Macaca mulatta: one gene and its partners. The protein of the gene in region 1 interacts with the protein of each later gene in a biochemical or structural test. Links are inferred from orthologs where the notes say so. Each region holds a gene or a part of one and is shown on either strand. Other genes may lie near its edges. The genes, in order: KHDRBS1, HCK, PRMT1, RASA1, FGR, YES1 and NCK1.

Region 1 (3,500 bases):
TTTCAAGTTTTCCCAGACAATCCTACCAATGCACAAGATGCTACTGCTCTGTCCATTACTATGCAGTCAAAAGTCCAAAAGAAAACTATCACCAGGGCACACCTAGGCTCTTCCAGGGTTGCCAAGCAAGTAAATTAACTTGGTGTATAATCTCTTGCACCCAATGCACACTTAAAGGAGCCACATTCTGTACATACACAATATTCTTGCCTCTATAAGGCATCTATACTGCATTCTGGGCAAGTAGAAGGCATTAGGATGTCCTCTTGCCTCACTAATGTGAGCTTACCTTGGCTTTGTCTCTCATTGAGCCCTTTCCCAACACAGAGATCTTTGCACCAGTCTCTTCCTGCAGTCTTTTGATTGTATTCCCTTGTGGTCCAAGAATCTTCCCCACAAAATTGAACTGACAGAAAATAAAGGATTTCTAAATATACATGCTACTATATAAAAACATCTCCACATAAATTACCTCATTTGATTTTAAACAACCCTGCAAAGGTAGAGTATTACCATTCCCGTTTTACTGAAGGACGCTGAAGCCATATTAATAAAGTGATTAGTTTAAGATTATGAAACTAGAAAGTGGCAGTTCCTAGACCTGAATTTGGCTTTTCTGATGTATTCTGGCCATCTTCCATAATACACTAAGACCTTTACTATTTTATTTTTTACTTTATTTTGAGACAGGCTCTCACTTTGTTGCCCAGGCCAAAGTGTAGTGACATGATCATGGCTCACCGCAGCCTCGACTTCCTGGGCTCAAGTGATCCTCCCGCCTCAGCCTCTGGAGTAGCCGGGACTATAGGTGCACATCACCATATCAGGCTAATTTTTGTATTTTTTGTAGAGATACGGTTTTGCTATGTTGCTTAGGCTGGTCTTGAATTCCTGGGCTCAAGTAATCTGCCTGCATTGGCCTCCCAAAGTGCTGGCATTACAGGCATGAGCCACTGTGCCTGTTTATGCATGCCTTAACATACATAAACATTGTTAACGCAGTGACCTCAGAGCAGAAGAGACTATATAGCACCCTTTGATAGCACGCTGGATAAACTAAATGTAACTAATTGCTTTCCTAAAAAAAGAAAAAAAAAAAAAGGAAGAAAAAAAGCATTTACTTAAAAGTAAACTTTTAGTAAGAAAATAAAATTAACTTCATCCAATTGAGGATTTGTATTATATTTCCTTTTATTTAGATTTCAGGTTAGTCTTTTGACAGAGAGCAACTCTTCAGGTTTTATTTTTTTTTTTTCTTTGAACTTGTAGCCTGAGCAGTCATTAGAGAAAGAAACTTTTTGATAATAAAAAGATTATTACATTTCCTTCCTGGCTATAACTATGTTTAGTTAAGAACTTAGATATTTCAATTGCCAGAAACAGGTACTGCAAGCATGAAAGAGAAGCTTCACAGGCTTAAGTTTCTAAAGCATCACAATCCCCAGGAGTCCATGACTCTCTCGTAACTATAAAGATAACTCAAAGATGCAAGGCACTTTTTGCCTTACCTTGGGATACTGCTTGACAGGTATCAGCACTCGCTCTTTCAGTTTCATGTTCTTATGAGAAAATAAATCCAAGTAATTCTCTTCATCGTCCTTTTTTGAGTCTCCTTTCTGAATCTTCTCAATTTCTGAACAGGAAAAACAATTTAAATTTTTGCTCTGGTAAATAAAAGCAAATTTTGAAGTCTGCTTAAAGCAATAACATGAAGTACCATATAGTGAGACCAAATAGTACACATGAATGTGCCAATTTCAGAAATAAACTAGCTGAAAGTACTAAAGTTATATGAAGTTGATTAGAAAGCCCAAAGCCTGCTTCTAATAAAAGTAGTGTGCTCTTCTAACCTCACCTGAAGCCTCACGTGAGAATAGAGACATTTAAATGTTTCTTAAATCGATTTAACAAAATTAATTGGGTGAGATGGGGAAAGGAGAATAAAGAAACAAACAAAAAATTAAAATCTGCATCAAGACAAAATATAATCTTACCTTGAAAAAAGCAAAAATCAATAATCTAAATATACAATGGATAGTTCCATTAAAGTTCCACAGTGACATTAGTACTCTAGATACTAGTCCTTAAGAGTCTGAAAGACCTTGTTCTTACTCTGCTACTCACTAGTTGTGTGACGTAAGAGAAGTTAATAAAATATGTAGATATGCCTAATTAAAGGCAATTTTTCATAAAGTACTTAATATATTGTCACCATTATCTAGCCCAAATTCAGCCAATGTCTAAACGATACAAAATGCACCAGGTACTTTTTTGAGACGGAGTTTCACTCCTGTTGCCCAGGCTGGAGTGCAATGGTGCAATCTTGGCTCACCGTAACCTCTGCCTCCTGGGTTCAAGCGATTCTCCTGCCTCAGCCTTCCAAGTAGCAGGGATTACAGGCATGTGCCACCATGCCCAGCTAATTTTGTATTTTTAGTAGAGACGGGGTTTCTCCATGTTGGTCAGGCTGGTCTTGAACTCCCGACCTCAGGTGATCCACCTGCCTCAGCCTCCCAAAGTGCTGGGATTACAGGCATGAGCCACCGCGCCCGGCCCAGCCACAAGGTACTTTCTAAAAAAACATTTTATTGAAGTATAACTGATATGTAAAAACCCATACATAATTAATGTATACAATTCATGATGAGTTTGGAGATAAGTATACACCCATGAAACTATCACCACCATTATGGCCACAGACATATCCATCATCACCCAAAAGTACTTTCAATTCACAGGTTAAGACAGTTTCATTAGATAGAAACTTGGCATACAAAAAGATTTCCTACTGGCCGGGCGCGGTGGCTCAAGCCTGTAATCCCAGCACTTTGGGAGGCTGAGACGGGCGGATCACAAGGTCAGGAGATGGAGACCATCCTGACTAACACGGTGAAACCCCGTCTCTACTAAAAAATACAAAAAACTAGCCGGGCGAGGTGGCGGGCGCCTGTAGTCCCAGCTACTCGGGAGGCTGAGGCAGGAGAATGGCGGGAACCCGGGAGGCGGAGCTTGCAGTGAGCTGAGATCCGGCCACAGCACTCCAGCCTGGGTGACAGAGCAAGACTCCGTCTCAAACAAACAAAAAACAAAACAAAAACAAAAAAAAAAGATTTCCTACCATTAAGGAACTTCATTCATTGAGTGACTGCAAGTGTTTGAGTGCTTCCTACGGTATGGAGAGGCAGATGAAGGGAGAGCTATAATAGGTACAATCATTAATCACTATGGAGGACTTACTAAGAGCCAGGCATCTGTCTTGCAAAGCACAGGAGATACAACAGAGCGAGTCAGACTGGTCTCTGTCTTCACTGTTTATATACTGGAGTTCCCAGACTATAGGGGTGGCAATGAAGTATAGTTAAGTGCTATAACAGGAGTTCTAACAGAGATGAGGGAAAAGTGCCCAAGGAATGAGCAGCAACTGAAAGCTTATATGATTCACTGAGAATAGTTAAAATACATATACTCCCTAAAATCAGTGGAACATTCTAAATATCAGA
Region 2 (4,044 bases), on another chromosome or scaffold:
TCCACAGCAGCTGGAAGGAATGAATGAGGCCTCTGTTTTCTATTTCTCATCCTGGATAGATTTTGACAACTTAATGATAAGAAGGGGCAAATATGCTCCTCTGCTATCCCCTTTCTCAGAATTGCAGAAAAGTCTCACAGTTAGATAGCTTTTTTTTTTTTTTTTTGAGATGAAGTTTCGCATTTGCTGCCCGGGCTGGAGTGCAATGGCGCGATCTCGGCTCACTGCAACCTCCGCTTCCCCGGGTTCAAGCCATTCTCCTGCTTCAGCCTCCCGAGCAGCTGAGATTACAGGCATGAGCCACCGCATAGATAGCATTTTTAAAGCACACAAAACAATAATATGTGCTGTTTATGCATACACTTATACACAATCCATTTTTAAAGGCACAGCCTGGAAGGACTGTAATCACGACAGCGGTTGCCCCCTGGGGAGGGATAGAAACAGGACTGAGAGTGACACAAGGTGGGGAGACTTCAAATTTTTCTGTTACTTTTAGTAAATTAATTTTTTAAAATCTGAAGCAAACACAACAAAATGCTATCATCTGTTAATTCTGGATGGTGGATTCTTGGGATATTTAATATATTATTCTCTTCACTTTTCTGTATTTCTTTTTTTTTTTTTTTTGAGACGGAGTCTCGCTCTGTCGCCCAGGCTGGAGTGCAGTGGCGCGATCTCGGCTCACTGCAAGCTCTGCCTCCCGGGTTCACGCCATTCTCCTGCCTCAGCCTCCCGAGTAGCTGGGACTACAGGCGCCCGCCACCGCGCCCGGCTAATTTTTTGTATTTTTAGTAGAGACGGGGTTTCACCGTGGTCTCGATCTCCTGACCTTGTGATCCGCCCGCCTCGGCCTCCCAAAGTGCTGGGATTACAGGCGTGAGCCACCGCGCCCGGCCCACTTTTCTGTATTTCAACCTGTCACCCCCTCCCCTAAAAAAAAAGGACCATAAAGAAAAAACCATGGGATAAGGCAACTGATATGTATTGAGGCCTTTTTCTGTGCCAGGCATAGGCTACCCCAGTGGTTTTCAAAGTGCCATCCTTGGATCAGCAGCAGCAGCATCACCAGGGATGGAAGTTCTTAGTGTCCTGCACAGAGTTACTGAATCAGAAACTCTAGTATTCGGCCCAGCAATCTGTGTTTTCACAAGCAGTCCAGGTGATGCTGATGTAGGCTGAAGTCTGAGAACGCGGGGCCATGTGTCTAGCTAGGGCAATGTTAAGATACATTAAACCTGTGTACTGTCAGACAGTACTCTCAGAGCTTTCCTTCAGTACCTTGCCTTTTCTTTCTTTCTTTCTTTCTTTCTTTCTTTCTTTCTTTCTTTCTTTCTTTCTTTCTTTCTTTCTTTCTCTCTCTCTCTCTCTCTCTCTCTCTCTCTCTTTCTTTTTTTCTTTTTCTTTTTTTGAGACAGAGTCTTTCTCTGTCGCCCAGGCTGGAGTGCAGCCGCGCGATCTCAGCTCACAGCAACCTCCACCTCCCAGGTTCAAGTGATTCTCGTGCCTCAGCCTCCAGAGTAGCTGGAATTACAGGCATGTGCCACCACGCCTGGCTAAGTTTTGTACTTTTAGTACAGACGAGGTTTCACCATGTTAGCCAGGCTGGTCTCAAACTCTTGACCTCAAGAGATCCACCTGCCTCAGCCTCCCAAAAAGCTGAGATTACAGGAGTGAGTCACCCTACCCGGCTCCTTCAGTATCCAATTAATCCTCTAAACAACCCTGTGAAGGAGGTACTATTACTCTCCCCATCCTACAGTTGTGAAAACAGAAGCAAAGAAAGGCCAAATCCTCTACCCCAGGCCCAACAGGCAGTTTGCCTCTAGAAGCCCCCTCCCCTACCCACTAGCCTAACTGTCTCTCACAGGCACCACCTCTCACAATTTCCTGCATCCTTGCAAGAAAGACTTCATAGCTCCGGCTTACAGATGAGGAAACGAATCCTGAGAGGGAGAATTCGTCCAACAAGGAGGAAAGTGTCAGGGCATGGCAGTCTTGGGCCAGGAGGTTTAGGGGTTTGACCTAGACCTACTGTGGGAGGAGGGGCAGAGAGCCGACCAGCTGCAGCCGGCCTGGGTGTGGCTCACACGTCAGGCCTCCGCCCAACTGCCCCCTTCCCCAAGCCGGCTGCCAACCCGGCGTGACCCGGCCCCCACCGGGAACCGTAAGGGCCTTCCCCCCCAGGCTCTGTGAAGCCCCATCCCTTCCTTCTTCTTCTTTTTTTTTTTTAATTAAAAAAAATCCCCCCCACCCCGCCGCAGAAGGGGAACCTGGACAGCCCAGAGAAGCGGTGGATAAAGTCACTGCACGGGCCTCCCCTCCCCTCCCCCTGGCATCCAGCAGTCCGCAGCAGTGCCGCCCCTCTCCTGGGCACCCTCCCCTGGCTGTCGACCCCTCATCACAGGCTACCCGCGGCTCCCCCGACGTTCCCGTCTCTCCTCGCTGCCCTCAGCAGCACCCGTAACCAGCCCTCCCCACTCCCCTAGACTCCCTCCGCCGCCTGGGACCCCTCGCGGGCCGGATATTCCCGGTCCCCTGTGCGCGGCACTCACCTGGGCGCCCGCTCCTGGTCTCGCGGGCAGCCCGGATCCTCGCAGCTCGAGCGCCCCCCCAGCTCGGCAGCCCCCGAGGTTCCGGGGTGCCAGTGCTGGGAAACTGACTTTCTAGAACTAGAGGCGGGGGCAGCGCTCGCAGGGGCTTTGGTGCCGCGGGCGTGTCTCGCCCTGCACTGTCTGGGTCCCTTCCCACTCGCCTCTAAGCCTCCGACGTGCTCCCGGACTGGGACCAGGGACGCGGTGGTGCCCGCAGGCCATCTGGGCGCTTTAGCCGCGCCCTGAGCGATGCTAACTCCGCCCCAAGTGTCCTAACGCCGCCCCGAAGACTCAGAAGCCACCCCAGGTTCCTAACCTGCTCCCCAAGGGTCATAACCTCCGTCTCCTGCAAGCAGGATCCCAAACCCGCCACCAAGAGAAAAAACAAAAAAAATTAGCATCATCCATCGGAGGCTTCTAACACGTCCACCAAGGATGTTAACCTCCATTCCTTCCGCTCTACTCTCCCTAACACCTCCCCATCCCACCGCCCAGCGTCCTACCGCAGTCTCCGAAGGATCCCAAATGCCACCCCTGGGGATTCGAACCCTCCCGTCTAAGAACCCCAGCACCCGCTCCCATGCTCCCAAGATCCTAACTCCGCCCCGCCAAAGGATTTTTAAACTAAACTTGCCCCCAAAGATTCTAATCTGCCCAATGGAAAGATCCGAACTCTCACTTCAGTGGATTCTAACCCTGCCTTAAAGATTTAGAACACTAACCCCAGGGTTCCAATACCGCTCTTGCTCCTGCGCGATCCCAACCTGCCGCCGCCTAAGAGTTTTAATCCCCAGGGGTCTATCCCGCCGGTCCAAAGACTCCAACCCTGCCCTTCAGAGATCCTAACCCCACCTATTAAAGGATTCCTGCTACAGTCTTCAAAGATTCCAACCCCACCCTGGAAAGGCCTTACCCTACCCCGGAAGCATCGTGATCCCTTTCCCCCACCACTCCGACCCCTCCCTTCTGGCCCGGCCCCCACAGCGCCGCGGCCCGAGACTTCCAGGCCCGTCTGTGGTCAGCGGTTTCCCTTCCGCAGGCCTGCTCCATTCAGACGCCACGCAAAGTTCCTCTCTCGAAGGAACCACCGTGGCCATGCAAAGTTCCCTGACCAAAGGAACTACCCTGGCCATGCAAAGTTCCCCGCCCGAAGGAACCACCCTGGCTTCCGGGCAGCTCAGAGGACTCCCAGACTGGGGGAGGTGGTCTGGAGAGGTGAGGAGTCAGGCTGGAGGGTGACCCCCCCCCCCAGTGGATGGGATTGTGCCCAGCTCCAGGCAAGGGCAGAACACACCCTCTCCTGAAAACACAGGGGCTATCACCCTAAATTCTGTGTAACACACCTCCAAAATCTCCAAAATGTACAAGAATCATACTGTGTCTCTCTGTTCCCGTTCTACCAGCTGATCGGGGCTACCGTCATTTCTTCACTCATTTCTTCATTCATTCA
Region 3 (4,134 bases), on another chromosome or scaffold:
GGTCTCGATCTCCTGACCTCGTGATCCGCCCGTCTCGGCCTCCCAAAGTGCTGGGATTACGGGCTTGAGCCACCGCGCCCGGCCAATTTTTGTATTTTTAATAGAAATGGGCGTTTCACCATGTTGGCCAGACTGGTGTCGAACTCCTGACTTCAAGTGATCCGCCCGCCTCCGCCTCCCAAAGTGCTGGGATTACAGGCGTGAGCCACTGCGCCCGAATCCTATCGGAAATTTTTAAGTCTCAGGCGTTTGCCAGCGGCACGCCAGAGAGTATAGCCTGCACCGAGGCCCAGAAACCAAAGAGCGAGCTCATTCCGGGATTGGAGAGGAGTGTGAGCGGAGGGAAGCAGAGGGATCAGAGAGAGGAGGGGCAGGACCCACGCATTCGGCCCTTTGCATTCAGCCTCATTCAACTAGGAACTTTTCCTGCAAATCAAGCAAAGCTTCCCGGAGGAAGTGGTGCCTAAGCTGCGCTCTGATTCTCGTTTAGAAGCTGACAAGACAAAGAGAGGTGGGCGGTCCTGGCAGGGGGAGGGACTCGGCAAAAACCAAGTACCTTGAGAGGGGTTGATGGGTTTTAAAAACTTTGAATGATTATGTCAAAGGCTAGGGATTTAATGTGTTGACTGCGGACTCCTATTCCTCACTTGCTTGGGGACCCCAGCGATGCCATTCCTCTCTCTGGGCCTCTCACTGATTCAGTTTTTCTCCCAGGTAATGAGCACAAGCTCCCTTTTTCCTCGAGACTCCCCCCGGGTTGGGAGGATCCACCGAGTGGACTAGGCGTGATCGTTCCTTTGAGCCAATCGTTGGTGCCTGAAGCCCCGCCTTCTTCCCCACCCGTGGGCCAATTGTCGTGTTCTCCTTGAGACTGGCCGCTTGGCGAGGGTGAAAGGCCGCGTGACGTCACTTCCGGATAAACCAATGGCAGCGATTAAGAGGCGGGTCGTTTTGGTGATGGACAGTTGTTTCAAGACGCCCCTTTAGCGCGGGGCTCCCCGGGAAGCTTTGAGGCGGTGCTGGGGGTAAAGGGGCGGGCATTCCTCGTGGATTTTGCCCAATCACCAGTCGCGCTTCTTGCAATAGACGGGCAGTTTTCCCCATCTCGGGTCGACTTGAGGGGGCGGGATTCTGGACGCCAGTGTTGGCAAACCCCTGACCTATGATGGACGTATTCTCCAGCCAATTATCAGACGGTATTCTCAGACGGGCCGCCTCCATTGCCAATGAAATCTTCCAGCGGGGTCGCGGTAGGCGGGCCGTGGACCCTCTGGTATAAGGCGGTCCCGGGGGAGTGAGGAGAAAGGGGGGGTCTTGGCGGCTGGAGGAGGAGTAGTTGCGGGTGAAGATGGCGGCAGCCGAGGCCGCGAACTGCATCATGGAGGTGAGCGCTTGGAGCGCCGCCGTGGGCGGGGGTCGGCTTTGGGTCGATGTTTCACGCCTCTGTGGTGGGGAAAGGGCTCTAAGTTGGCGACATGGGGTTGGAGGTCCCCCGCCGCACACGGGGGCGCCGCACGCTCCACATCCGGGGATATCGTTTGAGGTGACGGCTCCCTAGCTTTCAAGGGCCTTCGGCATCCGGCCTAGCGGAGGGTCTTATCCCCCCTCCCACGTGGAGGAGGGCTGGGGGCGCTTCCGGCCAGGCCCCCACGTGGCCGCGGCGCGGTGGGTGGGGAGGGGGTGTGCCGAGTCCGGTGGCCCGGCGGGCTCCACGTGCGGGACAAAGGCCCCGCCCCCGGCCGGGGAGGGGCGCCCGGGGGGGCGGGGAGGGGGTCCGACCCTCCTGAGGCCCCCAGCCCTCCTACCCAGGGACCCGGGCACACGTCGTGGGGTGGGATCGACCTGGGGCCCTCCACGATGTAGAGTGTCTTTTGGGAGGAGCAGTGCCTTTTACAACCTCCTTCCGAGCTCCAGGGGCATCTATTGGGATATCGGCCCTGGATTTGTGCGTTCTGGATTAGGGACTGGAGGAAAACCAAGAATGGGGCCCCCCTGACCCCATTTCCCCTCCTAGAGTTCTCCCCCTCACCCAGGGCTTTAGGTGTTGGGGGATGGGGCATGCCCCTGTGACCTCCCTCTGGGTGGTGGTGGGGCATCTAGATGGAGATTTTCCCACTAATAGGCGCCGTGCACCCCCTTGTGGCCATTTCTGGGTGTGTGGGAGGGACATCTTTTTCATGGGGCGTGTCCTGAAGCCCACCTCCCGTCGGATTTCTTCCTGGAGGGCGGAGGGAGGAGGGTACGTCCGCTGGGAAGGAGTTGTGGGAAATACGTAGGCTGAGAGCTTTACCCTCTGCTGGAGCGCTTTCTCTCTCCTGGGCCTTTGTGAGGGCGGGAGATGACCTCCCCCTTCCTGAAGCCCTGTGTAGGGGTCCTGAGCCCCGGGGTCCTGAGGGTGGGTGCCTGAAATGGTTTCAAGTGAGGTTTGGTTCTCGTGCAGCCATGTGGGGGAGGTTTCAGTCTTGCGTTTTAAGCCTTCGGGCTGGGGTTGTCTGGCAGTAGTTTTCAGTGGTGGTGATAAATGGGCCCCAGCGGGAAACCCCCGCAGCACCTTTCTTATAGGCATCCCCGCTGGCTTGGGAGAGCTGGGGGGAGGGTGTTTGGAGCCTAGTAGGTCATGGCCAGTGACGTGGCCCTTCTTGGAGTGGTCACATCTGGAAGAGATGTAATCTGATGGGGCCTCTGTCCTTCCACCCCTTTACCCATGGCATTGACTGGGGGGGCAGGTCAGCTGTAAGCTGTCAGGATGCAGCTCCCAGGGGTCACTGTAATGACTTCGCACCCTCTTGGCTGTCTCCTGCACCTGGGGCTCTGTGGGCGGAGGAAATAACTTTCCCAGAGGTGGCCTCAGGCTTGGCCGCACCTGGAAGTCTTCAGGACCTGGGATGGGTGTCTGAAATGGGGGCGATGGGCTGACTCCCCAAGCTACTTTTTTTTTTTTTTTTTTTTTTTTTTTTTGAGACGGAGTCTTAATCTGTCACCAAGGCTGGAGTGCAATGGCTTGATCTCGGCTCATTGCAACCTCCGCTTCCTGGGTTCAAGCGATTCTCCTGCCTCAGCCTCTTGAATAGCTGGGATGACAGGCACCCGCCACCAGGCCCAGCTAATTTTTGTATTTTTAGTAGAGATGGGGATTCACCATGTTGGTCAGGCCGGTCTCAAACTCCTGACCTAAGGTGACCCACCCGCCTCTGCCTCCCAAACTGCTGGGATTACAGGTGTGAGCCACCGCGCCCCCAAGCCACTTTCTGGAGCCCGCTCATTCTTAAGAGGGTCCAGGAGCTGCCCATCCTCCATGGGACCCTACCTTCGTGGGCAGAGGGTCATAAGGGAGCGGGTTGGTTCCAGCTGGTTTTGTTTGGGGCTCCTGAGTCCAAGGCAGGAGCTGGGGGCTGGGGTACTAGCTCTGGGGAAGTGCCCGTGTGCCACACCTCTATTCTGGAATCCTCTCAGACATGAGACTGGTTTGCAGAGGTGGCAGATGCCCTGTGGGCATACCCTGCCAGCCTCGTTCCCTCCTGCTATTCATGGCACCCTGGGATAGGGGTGTGTGTGTCAGGAAGTGTCACCTAATCTGGGGGAGATTAGGTGATGAGAGGGAGCGACAGCTGGCGGGGGTGGGTGCCAGTTCCCCTGGCCTGGATGGGGGAGGTGTGTGGTCAGCTGCCTGGCCAGAGAGGGGCAACAAGGGGGCAGGCCACCATCTCTCCAGCCACAGCTGGGATAGGAGACCCCCTTTCTTCTCCCCTCACTTTTCCCATCCCTTTCTTAAACACCCCACCTCATTACTTGCCCTCTTTGCCACCACTCCCCGCCAAGAAGGAGAATTGCTGGAAACCCCACCCCCCCCACCCCCCCCCACCCCGCCAGAGCCCAGGTCCCCGCGCCCAGCCCTCCCGCAGCCACTCCCAGTAGCTAATCCTTTCTCCCTGTTACTCTCTCCTAGAATTTTGTAGCCACCTTGGCTAATGGGATGAGCCTCCAGCCGCCTCTTGAAGAAGTAAATATCCTTTTGTGAGACCCCTTCCCACCCCGACCTCCACATCAATATATTTTGCCACACATCTGGCCCTTTCTTGAGGTCTAACCATACCCCTCTTGCTTCAAACCAGTTTACTGCAGGACCCCAAACAC
Region 4 (3,500 bases), on another chromosome or scaffold:
GCTTTTCTTTGTTTTATTACTGAGAGTTATTTCAAATCTATTGATGTCAGGAGGAAGATCACTAAAGGAGCAAGGAGAAAAAGAATTAACAAAATGATTTGGCATCAAACTACCTTATTTCTTTAGTTCTAGTATCAAATAAACCCCCATTTCTGCCAAAAAAAAAAAAAAGAGTGTGCTAGACCTAAAACCAGATTGACAACGTATTTTATTATTTGGTATACAGAAGACATGCAAATTACACACTTTTCCTACCATCTTTAACCTCCTAAACTAATAATTCATTCAAATAAGTACTGGAAACCCTAGTAAACATTTTGTATGTGTGGATTAGTAAAGTTTTTTGACTTGCTAATAATTCATGTTAATAACTAAGTGGAAAAACCAAGGGCATAGCACTTCACAAATAAAGGTAAACAAATACAACAGAAAAAAAAAAATATATACACCTGAATATGGTACCTTGTTCTGATGGTTTAGAGACCAAAAAAAATAGAAAGAAATGCAATATGGTAAAAGAAAATGATTAATGTAATGATAAAATAAGACTTACTCAAAGACAAACTCTTCTGACCACACTGGGTTTTGCCCTTCCCTTGCATGAGTTTTTGCTACTTGGACACTATTCAAGTAGATGTTACAATATGGATTAGTAAAATGTTTTACTGGGAGTTTATGGGCTTCTTCAATATGTAAAACAAGGCTGCTGACCTAAAAAAAAAAAAAAAAAATTACCCCAGATTTCTATAATTGCACATTTCAAAAGCAATTACTCTAAGATACAAAGCCAAAAATAATGATTTATTTTCCCCTTTTTTCAGAAAATATGAGCTTTGGTTATATTTTTCCTTTATATATGACATACTTAAAATATTCAAACATTTAAAATAATTCTTCCCACCTAAAAAGATAAAACAATGCAATTTTATTTTACAAGTTATTTCTCCCACTATATACTTGGAGAAATAATGAAATACATCTTTTCTACCATAAAACAATGATAAAGAGAAAATGAAGTTAAGAAAATTCTTTACTAATGTAAGTAAACAACTGTCACTACTCATCGAAATCCCGTATGTTATATAATATTTATCTGGAAGATTCTATTTCTATAGAAGAATTCCACAGCTAAACACTTTTAAAACACTGACCTTACCTTCTTATTTTACAGGAAAGGATACAAACCTAAAGAAACTAAGCTATCTGTCAGTTTGGATGCCAAAACTTAGATCATCTACCTTCTAGTATCAGGTCCTCTTTCTCTCTTGCCATATACTACTTGTGTGGCCTTGGACAAATCTGTCCCTCTAAGCCTCATCTTTCTAATATGTAAGTATAAAGTCTACACTACAGGTTGTAATAAGGATTACAAACTAGTTATCCCTCAGTTATCTGTGGGGGACTGATTTCAAGACCCTCCACCTCTCTCTCCTGGCAGATAACTAAGCCCAAGATGCTCAAGTTCCATATAGAAAATGACGTAGTATCTGCATAAAATCTATGCATGCCCTCCTGTATGCTGTAAATCATCTCTAGATTACTTGTAATACCTAATACAATGTGAATGCTATGTACATAGTTGTTATACTGTATCTTTTTATTGTATTTTTTTCTGAATAGTTTTGACCCATGGTTGGTAGATTACAGTGATGCAGAACCCATGAATAGAAAGGGCCAACTGTATATGTAAGTCACTAAATCTCACTGCCCACTGATACATAAAAAGTGTTTGAGATGTTAGCTATGATTATGTTAAACCTGCAAATGTCAGTTTAATGGCTCAAGTTTCATACAAAATACAACTTGCTCTTATTTGCAAAAATCCAATCTGATTTTTGATAGCTTACAAAATGTTACAATGTTATGAAGACATGGCGATTGTGTGTCTACTTAAATGTCCCTGGCGAAGAGCCTGACTTTGGGTTACAGGGACTATTTAGTCACCTAAATGTCAACCATTATCCACTCCCAGTAGAACAGTATGTTAATCACTCAGCTTATCAGATATTCACATGAAGAGAACAGGAGACACTTTGGTCAGTAAATATTGTACTCAACTTTCTTTAAAACCTCGAGAATGTCAAAATTTGCCTAACTTCTTCCAATTATATAGGGATTACTATAAAGAAAAAAAGCCAAGAAATGGAGGTTATAAAGTTACCCTTGTAAAGGCAAAAAAGAGAAAGCCTAGCTTAACTCTCCACAACTCGAAGTATAGGGCATGTTACAGTTTCAAATAAGATTAAATATTTCCTAAGAGTTAAGCAGTAGGTTTTAAAAGCTGTTCTTCAAAATGAAAATCCCAAAAAAGTTTATTGAGATTTGTGCTATAAATCTGATGATCTTTTCAATGTTCTACTTTTTTGAAAAAGGCCAAAATAATTTTTTAAAGGAAAATTAAGTGCCCAACAGAACAGTTTCTGCTGTGTTGGTTTAGTATTGTTATTTAAAGTGGAAGAATAATCTTTCTTATGTTTTTAACAGTTGGCATTTTGGACTAAGAAAGAACATTCTCTTTCATAAAGAAGTAACATTTTCCTGCTACTAAAGCAAGTGGCAGCATGGCTTAACCCCTCCTAAGATATGATGTCCAAAACAGTTCAGATAAAAATAAAAAGAGCGAAGCGTTAGAGCAAAATGTGACAATTAAAAATCAAAGAAAATTAAGCTTCACCTGACGAAGGCGTTTATTGGATGTCCCTGGACTACTTTTCCGTAAATTGCAAAATGCCTGCAGACCTTTCATCCAATCCTACAAAGAAAAAAAGCATTTCAAAGAAATATACACTAGTTTATTTGGTTTCCAAATCATCAGTTAGGTTTTTTTTTTTTTTTTTCCAAATTCAACAATTCCTTCCTTCTTTAGACTGCCCTTTCGTTTCTCGGACTATATTGCACTTTATAACAATAACCAATAATAAAATAATAAAGTAATAACAATAAAACAACCAAAACAGTTGTAATTCTGTATAAATCTTTGTTTGAATTTATGTATTAAACACATCGAGTGGCCATTAATTAGCCAAAAAATCAAATTTACATGAAACTGTTTCTCCCAAACATACTACCTTGGGGAAGTTAACTGTCAAGTATAATTAAGCTGTTACATTTGAGGCAAGCTTAGGTGGAATTTAACTTGATACATTTTTTGAAAAGGGGAGAGGGCTGATTCTAAAACCAACTGATTAACATTATGACTGATCCCATGACAAGCATGCTAATCTATACTTTAGGCCATGATACAGGCAGAAATGTATAAGGGGATTTGGGTTATTTTTAAGCTTTTAAATATAACATTAGATTTTAAAAATCATTTTAGCCTAATATTCAAATCAAATTGCAGCCATATTTTTTAAATGTTTAGTGCTTTGGGGGAAAGAAGAGAACTAAGGTTTATTAAAAATAAATCTAAATATTCACTTTGGTTTTTACATGTTTCTGGAAAGCTGTGTTCTATTGCTTTATTCAATTATGTCTTTAGTTTGTTGGCTATTTCAGTG
Region 5 (3,500 bases), about 4.5 Mb from region 1:
TGAACTGAACCCGCGTGGTGATGTAGTAGCCACCCATGTCCAGCTTGCGAATCTTGTAATGCTTCACATGATCGCCTCTGGTCTGATCCCAGTCCCGGATGGACAGGGAGTAGGCACCTGTGGAGAAGGATCACTTTGGATCTGCTGTTCTCCTCTCCCCTAGTCTGGGAGCTGGGAGAGGCCCGACAGCAGCATCCCTAGGACCTGGTCCCAGTCTTGGCCTTGACCCAAGCACCCTACCGCTCCTAGCCCTACCCCAATGGTTGGGCCTCCCAGTCACCTTGGCGCATGGCACCACCCCTACCTTTGGTGGTCTCGCTTTCCCGAATGAGAAAGGCCCCCTGGGGGTTGCCTGGTGAGAGCAGCTGCCTCTCTGCATCCTTTCTCCCAATCTTTCCAAAGTACCACCTGTTGGGAAAGGCAGGCAAGAGTCAGGTGTGCTCTGCTCAATCCTCACCTCAGCCTCCTGCGCAGTCACTTCACAAGTCAATACTCCATTTTCCCCATGTGTACAATGGGGCTGGTACACCTGCTTCACAGCCTGGCTGGGAGGATCACAGAGAAGGGGAATGTAAAATGCCTGGCACACAGTAGGTGCCCAGCAAAGGTTAGCATCTCTTCTCATTAGGTTTCTCTTGAATTAAAATTGCTTCAATCCCAGTCATCAGGGTGCCATGGACCCTCAGTTCATCTCACTCTAGCCCCTCTGTGCACTCATTTTACAGATGAGGAAGTTGAGGCTCAGAGAGGGAAAGTGACCTGTCCACAGGCTGGCTAATGAGATCTACCTAAAATCCTCTGCCCCTCACCCTAGTTCTTTTTTCACCACTCCAGTAATCAGATCACTCAGATCCTTCTCCCACCCCCACTTCCAAATCCTTTCCTCCTTTGGCCTCCAGAGCAACATGGTCTCCTGCTTCTCTTCTCTCTGGCTGCTCCCGCCCCAGCTCCTGCTCTTCTTGCACTCTCTTAGACTTGGATGTTGTCCTAAGTCTAAACTTCAACCTCAGGCCTCAATCACTCCTCTCCCTGGGTGATTCTTCCCGGGATTGAACTGTAGCCCTAAACCAACTGTGCAGGTACAATGGGGGAGCTGACATGACCACAGGTGCCATAGAAGACTCAGATGATCATGCAACTGGCCTGTGGCCATCTTGGGTTGAATTAAAGGAGCCTCGTGTTTTCAAACCAAGGGTGATGGAAGTCTTAGTGGACCCTGGGAAAGTCAGTCCGCCCCTGGGTAAGTCAGTCCGCCCCTGGGTACTAGGCACAGTTCAGGAAACAGGAGAAAGCACTGGCAAGTGGTGTGTCCAAGAGGGCAGGCGGGAGGGGGACGGAGGAAGTGTTGAAGGACTGTATAGACAGGACACATTGTCAAGTTTTTTCAAAGCCCTCCCCCCTCCCACAAGCATGACATTAGCTACTTCCTTAATAATCAGTATAATAATAACAGCACGTATTTCATGCTAGGGTCTGCCTTAATACATGTATGTATTTACTTAATTCTCCTAACAACGTTGTGAGATAGCTACCATTGTTTACCCCCATTAGACAGTCAGGACTGCAGTTGATAGAACAGGAACCCAGGCTGTCTGCTTTAGGGCCTGTGCTCCTAACCACACTACCCGTAACCACAACACTGCACTGAGCACCTCTCAGCGCTTGGTGACACTGGCTCCAAGATGTGGACACAAGCATGAAGCTCCCCACAAACCTCCTGTCCTCTGCATCATTGTCCCTCCTCTCCTTCATGCCTCCTACCACTTCCCCAGACTTGGGCCTCACTGCACTTGACCTCTGAACCTCGCCCGCCCACTCCTGTTCAGCGATGCCCACCCGCTCCTGCTCAGTCATACCCACTTCCTGCCAGCAGCCTCCACCTGCATGCAGCCTCTCCATTCCAACAACCTCCAAACATGCCCACATTTCTCCCTTCCCCAAAGGAAACTATTCTAAGTTCCATCTTGCCATCAACATTCTGCTGTATCTTCTCGCCTTCCCTTTACTTGAAAAAGTGCTTCGCACTTGGGTCTCCAATTCCTCACCTCCCACTGCCTCCCAGGTTCTGCTGTCTGGCCTCCGCCTCCCACCCTCGCACAGAGAAATCTCTCACCAAGGTCACCCCCACTGCCAAATCCAGTGGCAGCCTCTGACACGCCCTCTCTAGTTTCCTGAAGCTTCTGCGCTCTCTTGGTTCTTCTGACTTGGCCTGGTCTGGATTTCCTCACTTCTCCAGTGGCTCCTTCTCCTTCGAGGGCAGGTTTCCCCAAAGTGGGGTCCCAGAGCCAATCTTTTTCACTCTCTGCTCTCTTCCTTAACCCTCTATATAGCTTTTTAAAAAAATTTTAATTAATTAATTTTTTTTGAGACTGAATCTCGCTGTGTTACCCAGGATGGAGTGCAGTGGCTCCATCTCGGCTCACTGCAACCTCCACCTCCCAGGTTCAAGTGATTCTCTTGCCTCAGCCTTCTGAGTAGCTGGGACTACAGTTGCCTGCCACTACACCCAGCTAATTTTTGTATTTTTAGTAGAAATAAGGTTTCACCACGTTGGCCAGGCTGGTCTTGAACTCCTAACCTCAGGTGATCCACCCACCTCAGCCTCCCAAAGTGATGGGATTGCATGCATGCATCACTGCCCCTGGCCCCCTCCTATTTAGCTTTAATGATCATCTTTACTTTCATGAGTTCCACATTTCTGCCCTAGCCCACTGTGACTTCTGCAAGGACCATAGCAAACAAACTGAGGAGTCTTAGTGCCAATTAGGAAAAGGTGCCCCTTCCTTTGGGCTGATTCAGGGGCATGGATTAGCATGGGCTGGTTGCCTGCCATACAAAGCACAACCTAATCGAATTGCTGGCAGCCTCCTCCACATGGATGTTCCTCTCCACAAACCACAATCCAACAAGTACCCCCTAGAACTCATGAACCTATACCTGCTCCTGTGTTCCCTGCCTTAGCAAATGGTGCTATCATCCACCCAGCTCCTTAAGGAGACTTTGAGTCACCCTTGATTCCTCCCACTCCCCATAACCCAAATCAATCACAGAGTCCTGGATTCTCACTTTGCAGTCTCTTCAATCCCTTCTTTTCTCATATATGTATGACATTTGTGAGGATAGCTTTTTAAAAGCTTTATGAGCCTCAGTTTCCTCATCTGTAAAATGGGGACAATAATAATAACAAGGGGCTGGACATGGTGGCTCACACCTGTAATCGCAGCACTTCGGGAGTCTGAGGCAGGAAGATCACTTGAGGTCAGGAGTTTGAGACCAGCCTGGCCAACATGGTGAAACCCCATCTCTACTAAAATTAACAAAAATTAGCCAGGTGTGGTGGCGTGCACCTGTAGTCCCAGGTACTTGGAAGGCTGAGGCAGGAGAATTGCTTGAACTCAGGAGGTGAAAGTTGCAGTGAGCCAAGATTGAGCCACTGCCCTCCAGCCTGGGCAACAGAGCAAGACTCTGTCTAAAATAATAATATCAAGGCCAGGCATGGT
Region 6 (4,149 bases), on another chromosome or scaffold:
CCCGGGTTCACGCCATTCTCCTGCCTCAGCCTCCCGAGCAGCTGGGACTACAGGCGCCCGCCACCTCGCCCGGCTAGTTTTTTTTTTGTATTTTTTTAGTAGAGACGGGGTTTCACTGGGTTAGCCAGGATGGTCTCGATCTCCTGACCTCGTGATCCGCCCGCCTCGGCCTCCCAAAGTGCTGGGATTACAGGCTTGAGCCACCGCACCCGGCCTAAATTATGTTCTTAAACCAAGCACCTCATATAGTACATTATACACTGGATTCCTTAAAAAAAATTCATGTAAAATAAAACATAGAAACAGATTCTGCATACAGACGTAGGGCTTAATGTATTACACTAAAACCAATACCCTTGGTAACTCCTATCAGGTTAAAACAACTTTGTCACCACTTCAGAAGCCAGGTCCCTATCACAATCTCCTCCCTCTTCCTATATATTTCCTTTCATAGAACCACAGGTATTCTATGCTTCTATCTTTACGTTCACAGAAATTTCCTTGCAGGTTTTTTCTTTTTTAATTACCCAAGTTTGGGCGACACCAGAGTTTAGCATCACTTAAATTTTTTTGGCATTAGTCTTCTTTCTTACTATAATGCTAATAGAATAACTGATGCCTACACTGATGTTGTAAAGAAAAACTACCCATAGGAATAAATTATTTACTGTCTAACATGATGCAAATTTCAACTTTGAGTAAGTCTTACACCATCGGTTGATAATATTTCGCTTATACAGGTTTACTTCTAGTCTTTTAGCACATTTATTCTTTTATCAATACATACCACGAAGGAATTCTACTTGCATAAACAATTTTTCAGCTTGTGAATTTCCTGAACTAAAACACACACAAAAAAACGCCCATGTATTAATGTTATATACTTCGACCATAAGACAAATTCCACCTAACCCAGGAAGACAGGTCAAAGCTGTAATTTCACTTTCAGATGAACAGAAAGGAATCAATTTTGTGGTTTATGAAGTCAGCAAAACCTAACTGCGAAATTAAAGCTATTATAACATTACGGTGGTTACAACAGAGTATGTATTTTAAGAGCCCTTTTATCTTTTATCCTGGAAACATGGATATAAACTGTTTTGTTTTCAGATCAAAGGCAACTGTCTATTTCAAATGTAGGACCCTCTGAAATGTTAACCAGCATTTAAAATCTCCACCGACTTTTAGCTAATGTCCAAAAATTAAAATACAATTTAACTTCCTTTTCTTACATGTCAATTGTGGCAGGGGTCTCACATTTATAAGCAAACAAAAACAACAAAACCATATATATTATTTGCTAAAGTAAAACTTCCTTACTGTACAATATATGAAAATCGTAAGTGATGCATACAAGATCCTTGGTTAATACAAGATACTCCTTTATTACCTGACCAAAATGCTTCCTGTCCACCGTGTGCCAAGCACTGTGACAGTTATTAGATTTACCATGCACTTTTCCTTAAATGCAGTCATGTGTATACATTTAGTAATATTTTCCTTAGTGAGTTATTTAACTTTAGAAATTTAACAGGATGGTTTAAACACATTTAAAATTATCAAGACATCTTTGGCACTAATCTTACAATTATAATACATGAAGATACTATAATCATATTATATACACGTGAAATCAACTATGTGAAAACACACATCCGTGGAACATATATACATAATAAATGGTATGGACATAAAATTGTGCTTCCACCAGACTTTATTTCCTTTAATAATGTACAAATTAGACCGTATGTTATTCCACGCCTATATCAATTAATTATGCAGAAAATAATTCAACCAAATCCGAACTGTTAAGTCCTACTCAAAACAAAAACTAAAGTCCCTACACCAGACTTGATTTTCAAAGAGCTTCTTAAAACAACTCTGCTCCATGCCCAATAAAGTGAAAGCTGGAAGCAATTATCAAGAAGAAAAACACACTTTAAGACAAAATTTTCTTTAACACATGTGGACAGGGAACCGAACGCAACGGGAGGCGGAGTGGCATGAAAAAGTGGACGCTGAATGGTAAATTTCCCAACCCCCAATCCAAAACAAAGGAAAACTTTAAACATGTTGCGGTTTTCAATCAAACCGAGTAAAGCCCGAGAGGCTCACCCACTCGCCCCACACACCCTCTCCTCTCCCCGCACAGCTGCTACCGGCGTCGGCCGAGACACAGACCCCCAGCCTTTAGGACCGAAAAGGGACCGCTTCCCTCGCCCCCACTTCGGCCGTGTGGGCAAAAATAAACCTCGCCTCCACGCCGCCGGGCTGTCCACACGACCCCAAAGACAAGCGGTGGAGAGTGTCCCCACGCCCCTGGGACCTCAGGTCGGACTTGGGCGGGACCCGGCAGGACTGAATGGGGCAGAGACCAAGTCAGGGGCGAGCAGGTAGCGCGGGGAACGAGACGAGCCCGCGGGGCGAGCCGGGGGAGGGGAGAAGTTTCTTCCCAACTTCCCGACTCTGGCCCGCGGGGGCGGGGAACCGCGGCGGTGCTGGCGGCTCCGGGCGCTGGGGCCTAGCCCTGTCCGTGCCGGGGTGGACCCCTCCGCCCGCGGGGCCCCACCCGGTCCTTACCTGTCCTCCGGCCGCGCTCTCATGAGTCGCTGCTGCCGCAGCTCGAGGTGGCGGGAGGGGACGGAGGGCGGAGGCGAGGCCCGCGGGCCCTCTCCCTCCTCCACCTCCTCGTCCCGGGGCGCCCGGCTGCAGCAACCACTGCAGAGCCGGCCCGGGACGCGTTGCTTCAGGACGAGGGAGTTCCCTGGCTCCCCACCCCTCGGCCTCACTCTCCACCTCCTTCCCCCGGCCCCGCCCCCTCACTTCTAGCGGGGGCGGGGGCGGGCGCGGGGCGGGGGCTGCGGCTACCTGCGCGCGCCGCCGTCCGCTCACCGGAACTCGGGCCACGCCGGCCAGGCTCCAGGGCCCCCAGCCTTCCGGCGCTTACGCCCCCGCCAGGTCCCCTCCGCGGGCTCTGGGCCGCTTTGCTGTGGTCTGGGTATGCGACCGGTCCGTGTCACTTCTCCCGACCCAACATGGCGGCGGGGTCCGGGGCGGATTCCCGGGGGCGGTGCAGGCTGAGGGGGCGTGAGGAGGAGGTGCTTCCCCGCCCGGAGAGCAGGCCCGCGGCGCCCCTTCCCAGCCGCGAACCCACCGACGCTCGGCTGCCGCGGGGATTGAATGGGGCGCCCCGATTCCGCCCCTCTGCCTTTCTCTTTTCCTTGGCCCGGCTCTCCGTAGTTCCCAGGGCTTTGGGGCTTGTTTTTGCGGGGGAGGACGGGGTTGAGTTTTTTTGGCTGGCTGCTTCTCAGCACTATGCTTCCGCACCCTTTGTCGTTGGTAGTAAAATCTCAGCCCAACCGCGTGAGCCGGGGGCGTTACTCACACGCTCGTCACTATCCAGATGCCGTCCAAACAACGTTCACGTCTGGCCTCCTTCCGAGGCAGGGATCCTGTCCCTGCCCCCAGGAGCTTCCTGTTAACTGTAGGTCGAACCAGCCTTGCCGGGAGGGGAACCGAAGCCGAGTTATGTTTGGCGACTATCTCAGTAATGGTGGCTTTGGCTTATGTTGGGACAGCGTATGTCTATATGCTGCTGGCGGCAGCCCAGTGAGGGAAGTGCAACAAGTATGGTTATCCTGCTCGAAAGCTGTGGAAACAGCGACCCCGAAAGTGGAGGAGCCAAGCTGGAATCGTGTCGGTCTGAAGCCGCGCACCTTTCCTATGAGCCTCGTACCCAGTCGCTGAAGAAGGGGGAGGACCCGGAAGGATGGGGTGGGGGCGTTAATCAAGGTCCTCATGAACTGACCCTTGAGGCACTTCTGCTGCAGTCACTTCTGCCTTGTCAGACTTTCGGAGTAACTTCCTTTCTTTATTTCCTCTTTGGTGGGGTTATCAGAATAGTTGTGTGACTATTGGTTTCCTTTGCGGTTTTTAGTGAAATTCAGAATCATCGACAGATACGAAATAGTACAGTCATACGTGTCAGAATTTCGGTGTTCTAGGAACTTAAGGAAATGCACATAAGGGTTTGAACATTTTTTTTTTCAGCTCACTAAATGAACGAAAGGTAGGCATAGGCATTAAAGATACACATAATGTGGAACGGTGCTGTATTTTCTTTAGCTACTAAAACTTCATTTGTCTTTG
Region 7 (3,500 bases), on another chromosome or scaffold:
TAACCTAAATACCGGGCAAGTGTTGCATGTGGTACAGGCTCTTTACCCATTCAGCTCATCTAACGATGAAGAACTTAATTTCGAGAAAGGAGATGTAATGGATGTTATTGAAAAACCTGAAAATGACCCAGAATGGTGGAAATGCAGGAAGATCAATGGTATGGTTGGTCTAGTACCAAAAAACTATGTTACCGTTATGCAGAATAATCCATTAACCTCAGGTTTGGAGCCATCACCTCCACAGTGTGATTACATTAGGCCTTCACTCACGGGAAAGTTTGCTGGCAATCCTTGGTATTATGGCAAAGTCACCAGGCATCAAGCAGAAATGGCATTAAACGAAAGAGGACACGAAGGGGATTTCCTCATTCGAGATAGTGAATCTTCGGTAAGTTGATTTTCAGATGTAAATACAAATAGAGCTCTATGTATTAAAAAGAAAAAGAGAAATGGAGAGGTTAAGTGGCTTCCCTAAAGTTAACCAGGTAACAAGCTGGGACATAACATAAGCATAAATGTTCCAAAGCTAAAGTCAGCATTCTTTCTAGCTATCTATTTTCAATGAAAAGAGAGTTGTGGCAGTGATGCTACATGCTGAGTTATTTGGTCTTTTCTAGTTCTGTTGATTTTGCATTCCTGATATATTTTCTGTTGCATTAAACTAAATGGAGAAAATGGAACATTGACTTCTTCATTGAATGTAGAATAATACTGTAGATTAAATTGGGAAACATTTTAAAAATTGCTATTGGATACAATGTGTAAGAAGATAGTCACTGTAGTCCTTATGACATAGGAAATCCCTGAATTTAAAAAATTGATACTAAGTTTCTTCATAAATTGGTTACCTGGAAATTGGAATACACTTTTTATTGTAATCTCAAAAAACCTATTTTAACACTGTGTTTGAAATGCATTTGCAATAAAAGGTAAATTATATTGCAATACTAGTAAACAATAAAACTATAAAACCATAAAAGTTGAAAAATAGTATGGTTTCATGGTCTCTTAGATACTGTTTAGGATATTAGAATTTGATGACACTCATTTTCCTTAAAAATGCCCTTTTCCTTGATAAAAGATATCATTACTTTTCCATTTATTAAATCATGATTAATCTTGGCTTTGCGTGAGTATATTTGTACAAAAGGGAATGTGTAATTGCACAAAATTTTGAAAGAAAATGTGTGGAAGTGGGGTGTGGTGGGGAGAGAGATTAATTGAACTTCTAATATGAAGTTCAGGAAAATGGGGCCTGTGCCTAATCCCTCAGAAAAGCAGTTGGTTGGCAGTAGGGAAGAGTGATGACATCCATTTTCTGTTAGTTGCCTGATCTGGCTCACTGTTTGAAACTTTGGGAGTAACTGTAGAAAAAGAGGCTTTTGGGGGTTGATATAGACTGTAACAACAACAACAACAACAAAAAACCTAATTAAAAAGAAAATAGCTTGAATGCAGAATTGTGTGTATTTTCTTGTGGGTAATTGAGCATAAATATAAGACAAAATACAATATATACCATTATTTTTAGCAGTATACTTTTTAAGGTTAGGTCTCAAGTAGGCATATTTTGTTTAGCCTTCACAGTGTTTTTTAAACGTTTAAATTCATTGCCCATATTTAAATATTAGGATATTTATTGTAAAAATTCAGACTTTGGACCATTTAAAATTGAAAGAACTACCAACATTGAGACCCTATTCCTGCGGGGCAACAATCACAGCTGAGAAGTCACCACTTCTTTAGATTGGTGATACACTGTCATTTTCTCTGCCCATCTACCCTTCCACTCTGACACTTGTTTACGTTATTCTTTTGGCTCTTGTAGGCATTTGAGTTTGTGGCCTTTCCTTAAAGTTTAGATTAATTCTCATTTGTGTGTTCTTCATTTTTGGGAATTCAGCGTGTTATCCCTAAGACAGCTACTGTTAGCTACACATTGAAAAGGGGTTGGGTGGGTATCTTAGACTTTCTCATGTGTTTCTCTGACTGGAGAGAAGATAGCTCTTGTTCTTCAAATATGTAAGGGATTTGCTGTGGGTGTCTACTGGTGGAGCTGTGGGTGTTAAGAGACTTTTGATTACACAGGTTTGAATCCTGGCTCTGTTGTTAACTAGATGGATGATACTGGCCAATTTATTAATAGCTTCCCTGAGACTCAGTTTTCACATCTGTAAAAAGGGTTTTGTTTTAGGGAGTAAAGGAGATAAATCTATGTAAATAATTTACCATGGTACCTAGGACTTAGTGCTTAAATTTTAGCTTTTAGTTTAATATAAAAATACTGATAGAGGGCTTTCAAAATGTTTACTGTATTTTTTTTTCTCTTTTAGCCAAATGATTTCTCAGTATCACTAAAAGCACAAGGGAAAAACAAGCATTTTAAAGTCCAACTAAAAGAGACTGTCTACTGCATTGGGCAGCGTAAATTCAGCACCATGGAAGAACTTGTAGAACATTACAAAAAGGCACCAATTTTTACAAGTGAACAAGGAGAAAAATTATATCTTGTCAAGCATTTATCATGATACTGCTGACCAGAAGTGACTGCTGCATAGCTGTAATTTGTCATGTAATTGAAGACTGAGAAAATGTTGGGTCCATCGTGCTTGATTGGAAATGGCTGTTTCTAAACCTTTATGAGAATTGACAATAAGTATTTTTATTATAATTCAGCCCATACATATATACTATGTATGCAGTGCATCTGCATAGAACAGTTCCTTATCCTTGGCCTTCTGTTTTATTGTTTTTTTTCTTTGCTGTTTTCCCTTTGCTTCTAATATTACAGTTTTGTATTTTGAAAAAAAAAATCAAATAATGCTTATCAGAATCTTTATATGGAAGAAATCCTTTATTGCCTATCCTTTGTTTCCTTGTAAAGGCGCCCTGTTCTGTTATGGTTTTTCATTATATAAAATTATTATATCTATATATGACATATGCTAAAATAAATTTCTTGGAGAGTGTTAATCTTTTCTGTGACTAAATAGCAATAATAAATGAAAAATTAGAAATTATTTCCAGGTATTATATTTGTCACAGGCCATTGTAAATACCAAGTATATTGTGTCTGCCTTAATTTTAAAAAATGCATTCATTGTCTTCAGTCGTACAGAAAGACACATGAGACATAGATTAGAAAACATGTTGTACAATTTTAATTTACAACTGTTGGAAACAAAAATCACTTTCTTAATTTTTTTTCCAGTGCTTCTCCCTTATCTGGTTATTCAAGAAAGCCAAATTGTCTCTGAGATATTTAGCTTTTCAAACTATAAATAGATGCTCTAGTGTTATTTATTTTTTTTAATCCCACTTATTTTACCAGGGCATCTTGTATTAGGATATGTTATATTTATGCCAGTGGGAAACAAGTTATGGCCAAGTTTTGCAAAAATAGGAAGCAGTGAGATACTTGGTTTTTTCTCCTCACTAAATATCAGTAATTATCAGGAATGGTATTACCTATTTTCATTTCCTCTTTTCAGCTTTAAATT

The links.
Region 2: the proteins of KHDRBS1 (region 1) and HCK interact in a biophysical measurement, tested with the Homo sapiens proteins (2 studies listed by BioGRID and IntAct, with this or other methods). The link is inferred for Macaca mulatta from reciprocal best matches to the Homo sapiens genes KHDRBS1 and HCK.
Region 3: of the proteins of KHDRBS1 (region 1) and PRMT1, one has a biochemical effect on the other in vitro, tested with the Homo sapiens proteins (2 studies listed by BioGRID). The link is inferred for Macaca mulatta from reciprocal best matches to the Homo sapiens genes KHDRBS1 and PRMT1.
Region 4: the proteins of KHDRBS1 (region 1) and RASA1 form a complex in vitro, tested with the Homo sapiens proteins (2 studies listed by BioGRID). The link is inferred for Macaca mulatta from reciprocal best matches to the Homo sapiens genes KHDRBS1 and RASA1.
Region 5: of the proteins of KHDRBS1 (region 1) and FGR, one has a biochemical effect on the other in vitro, tested with the Homo sapiens proteins (2 studies listed by BioGRID, with this or other methods). The link is inferred for Macaca mulatta from reciprocal best matches to the Homo sapiens genes KHDRBS1 and FGR.
Region 6: of the proteins of KHDRBS1 (region 1) and YES1, one has a biochemical effect on the other in vitro, tested with the Homo sapiens proteins (2 studies listed by BioGRID, with this or other methods). The link is inferred for Macaca mulatta from reciprocal best matches to the Homo sapiens genes KHDRBS1 and YES1.
Region 7: the proteins of KHDRBS1 (region 1) and NCK1 form a complex in vitro, tested with the Homo sapiens proteins (3 studies listed by BioGRID, with this or other methods). The link is inferred for Macaca mulatta from reciprocal best matches to the Homo sapiens genes KHDRBS1 and NCK1.

Annotation. Positions count from the first base shown.
Region 1 is NC_133406.1:208,851,414-208,854,913, forward strand, and holds part of KHDRBS1 (KH domain-containing, RNA-binding, signal transduction-associated protein 1), read right to left. Parts: intron 1,634-3,500; coding exon 1,509-1,633; intron 407-1,508; coding exon 290-406; intron 1-289. UniProt on the Homo sapiens protein: Recruited and tyrosine phosphorylated by several receptor systems, for example the T-cell, leptin and insulin receptors. Once phosphorylated, functions as an adapter protein in signal transduction cascades by binding to SH2 and SH3 domain-containing proteins.
Region 2 is NC_133415.1:84,875,144-84,879,187, reverse strand, and holds the start of HCK (HCK proto-oncogene, Src family tyrosine kinase), read right to left. Parts: upstream 2,801-4,044; 5' UTR 2,618-2,800; coding exon 2,556-2,617; intron 1-2,555. UniProt on the Homo sapiens protein: Non-receptor tyrosine-protein kinase found in hematopoietic cells that transmits signals from cell surface receptors and plays an important role in the regulation of innate immune responses, including neutrophil, monocyte, macrophage and mast cell functions, phagocytosis, cell survival and proliferation, cell adhesion and migration.
Region 3 is NC_133424.1:62,129,554-62,133,687, forward strand, and holds the start of PRMT1 (protein arginine N-methyltransferase 1), read left to right. Parts: upstream 1-1,334; 5' UTR 1,335-1,348; coding exon 1,349-1,384; intron 1,385-3,946; coding exon 3,947-4,000; exon of another isoform or gene 4,001-4,004; intron 4,005-4,134. UniProt on the Homo sapiens protein: Arginine methyltransferase that methylates (mono and asymmetric dimethylation) the guanidino nitrogens of arginyl residues present in proteins such as ESR1, histone H2, H3 and H4, FMR1, ILF3, HNRNPA1, HNRNPD, NFATC2IP, SUPT5H, TAF15, EWS, HABP4, SERBP1, RBM15, FOXO1, CHTOP, MAP3K5/ASK1, MICU1 and NPRL2.
Region 4 is NC_133411.1:93,748,356-93,751,855, reverse strand, and holds part of RASA1 (ras GTPase-activating protein 1), read right to left. Parts: intron 2,753-3,500; coding exon 2,675-2,752; intron 712-2,674; coding exon 554-711; intron 62-553; coding exon 1-61. UniProt on the Homo sapiens protein: Inhibitory regulator of the Ras-cyclic AMP pathway. Stimulates the GTPase of normal but not oncogenic Ras p21; this stimulation may be further increased in the presence of NCK1.
Region 5 is NC_133406.1:213,326,471-213,329,970, reverse strand, and holds part of FGR (tyrosine-protein kinase Fgr), read right to left. Parts: intron 409-3,500; coding exon 305-408; intron 118-304; coding exon 1-117. UniProt on the Homo sapiens protein: Non-receptor tyrosine-protein kinase that transmits signals from cell surface receptors devoid of kinase activity and contributes to the regulation of immune responses, including neutrophil, monocyte, macrophage and mast cell functions, cytoskeleton remodeling in response to extracellular stimuli, phagocytosis, cell adhesion and migration.
Region 6 is NC_133423.1:72,093,620-72,097,768, forward strand, and holds the start of YES1 (tyrosine-protein kinase Yes), read right to left. Parts: upstream 2,801-4,149; 5' UTR 2,581-2,800; intron 1-2,580. UniProt on the Homo sapiens protein: Non-receptor protein tyrosine kinase that is involved in the regulation of cell growth and survival, apoptosis, cell-cell adhesion, cytoskeleton remodeling, and differentiation.
Region 7 is NC_133407.1:39,960,492-39,963,991, forward strand, and holds the end of NCK1 (SH2/SH3 adapter protein NCK1), read left to right. Parts: coding exon 1-388; intron 389-2,333; coding exon 2,334-2,528; 3' UTR 2,529-3,070; downstream 3,071-3,500. UniProt on the Homo sapiens protein: Adapter protein which associates with tyrosine-phosphorylated growth factor receptors, such as KDR and PDGFRB, or their cellular substrates. Maintains low levels of EIF2S1 phosphorylation by promoting its dephosphorylation by PP1.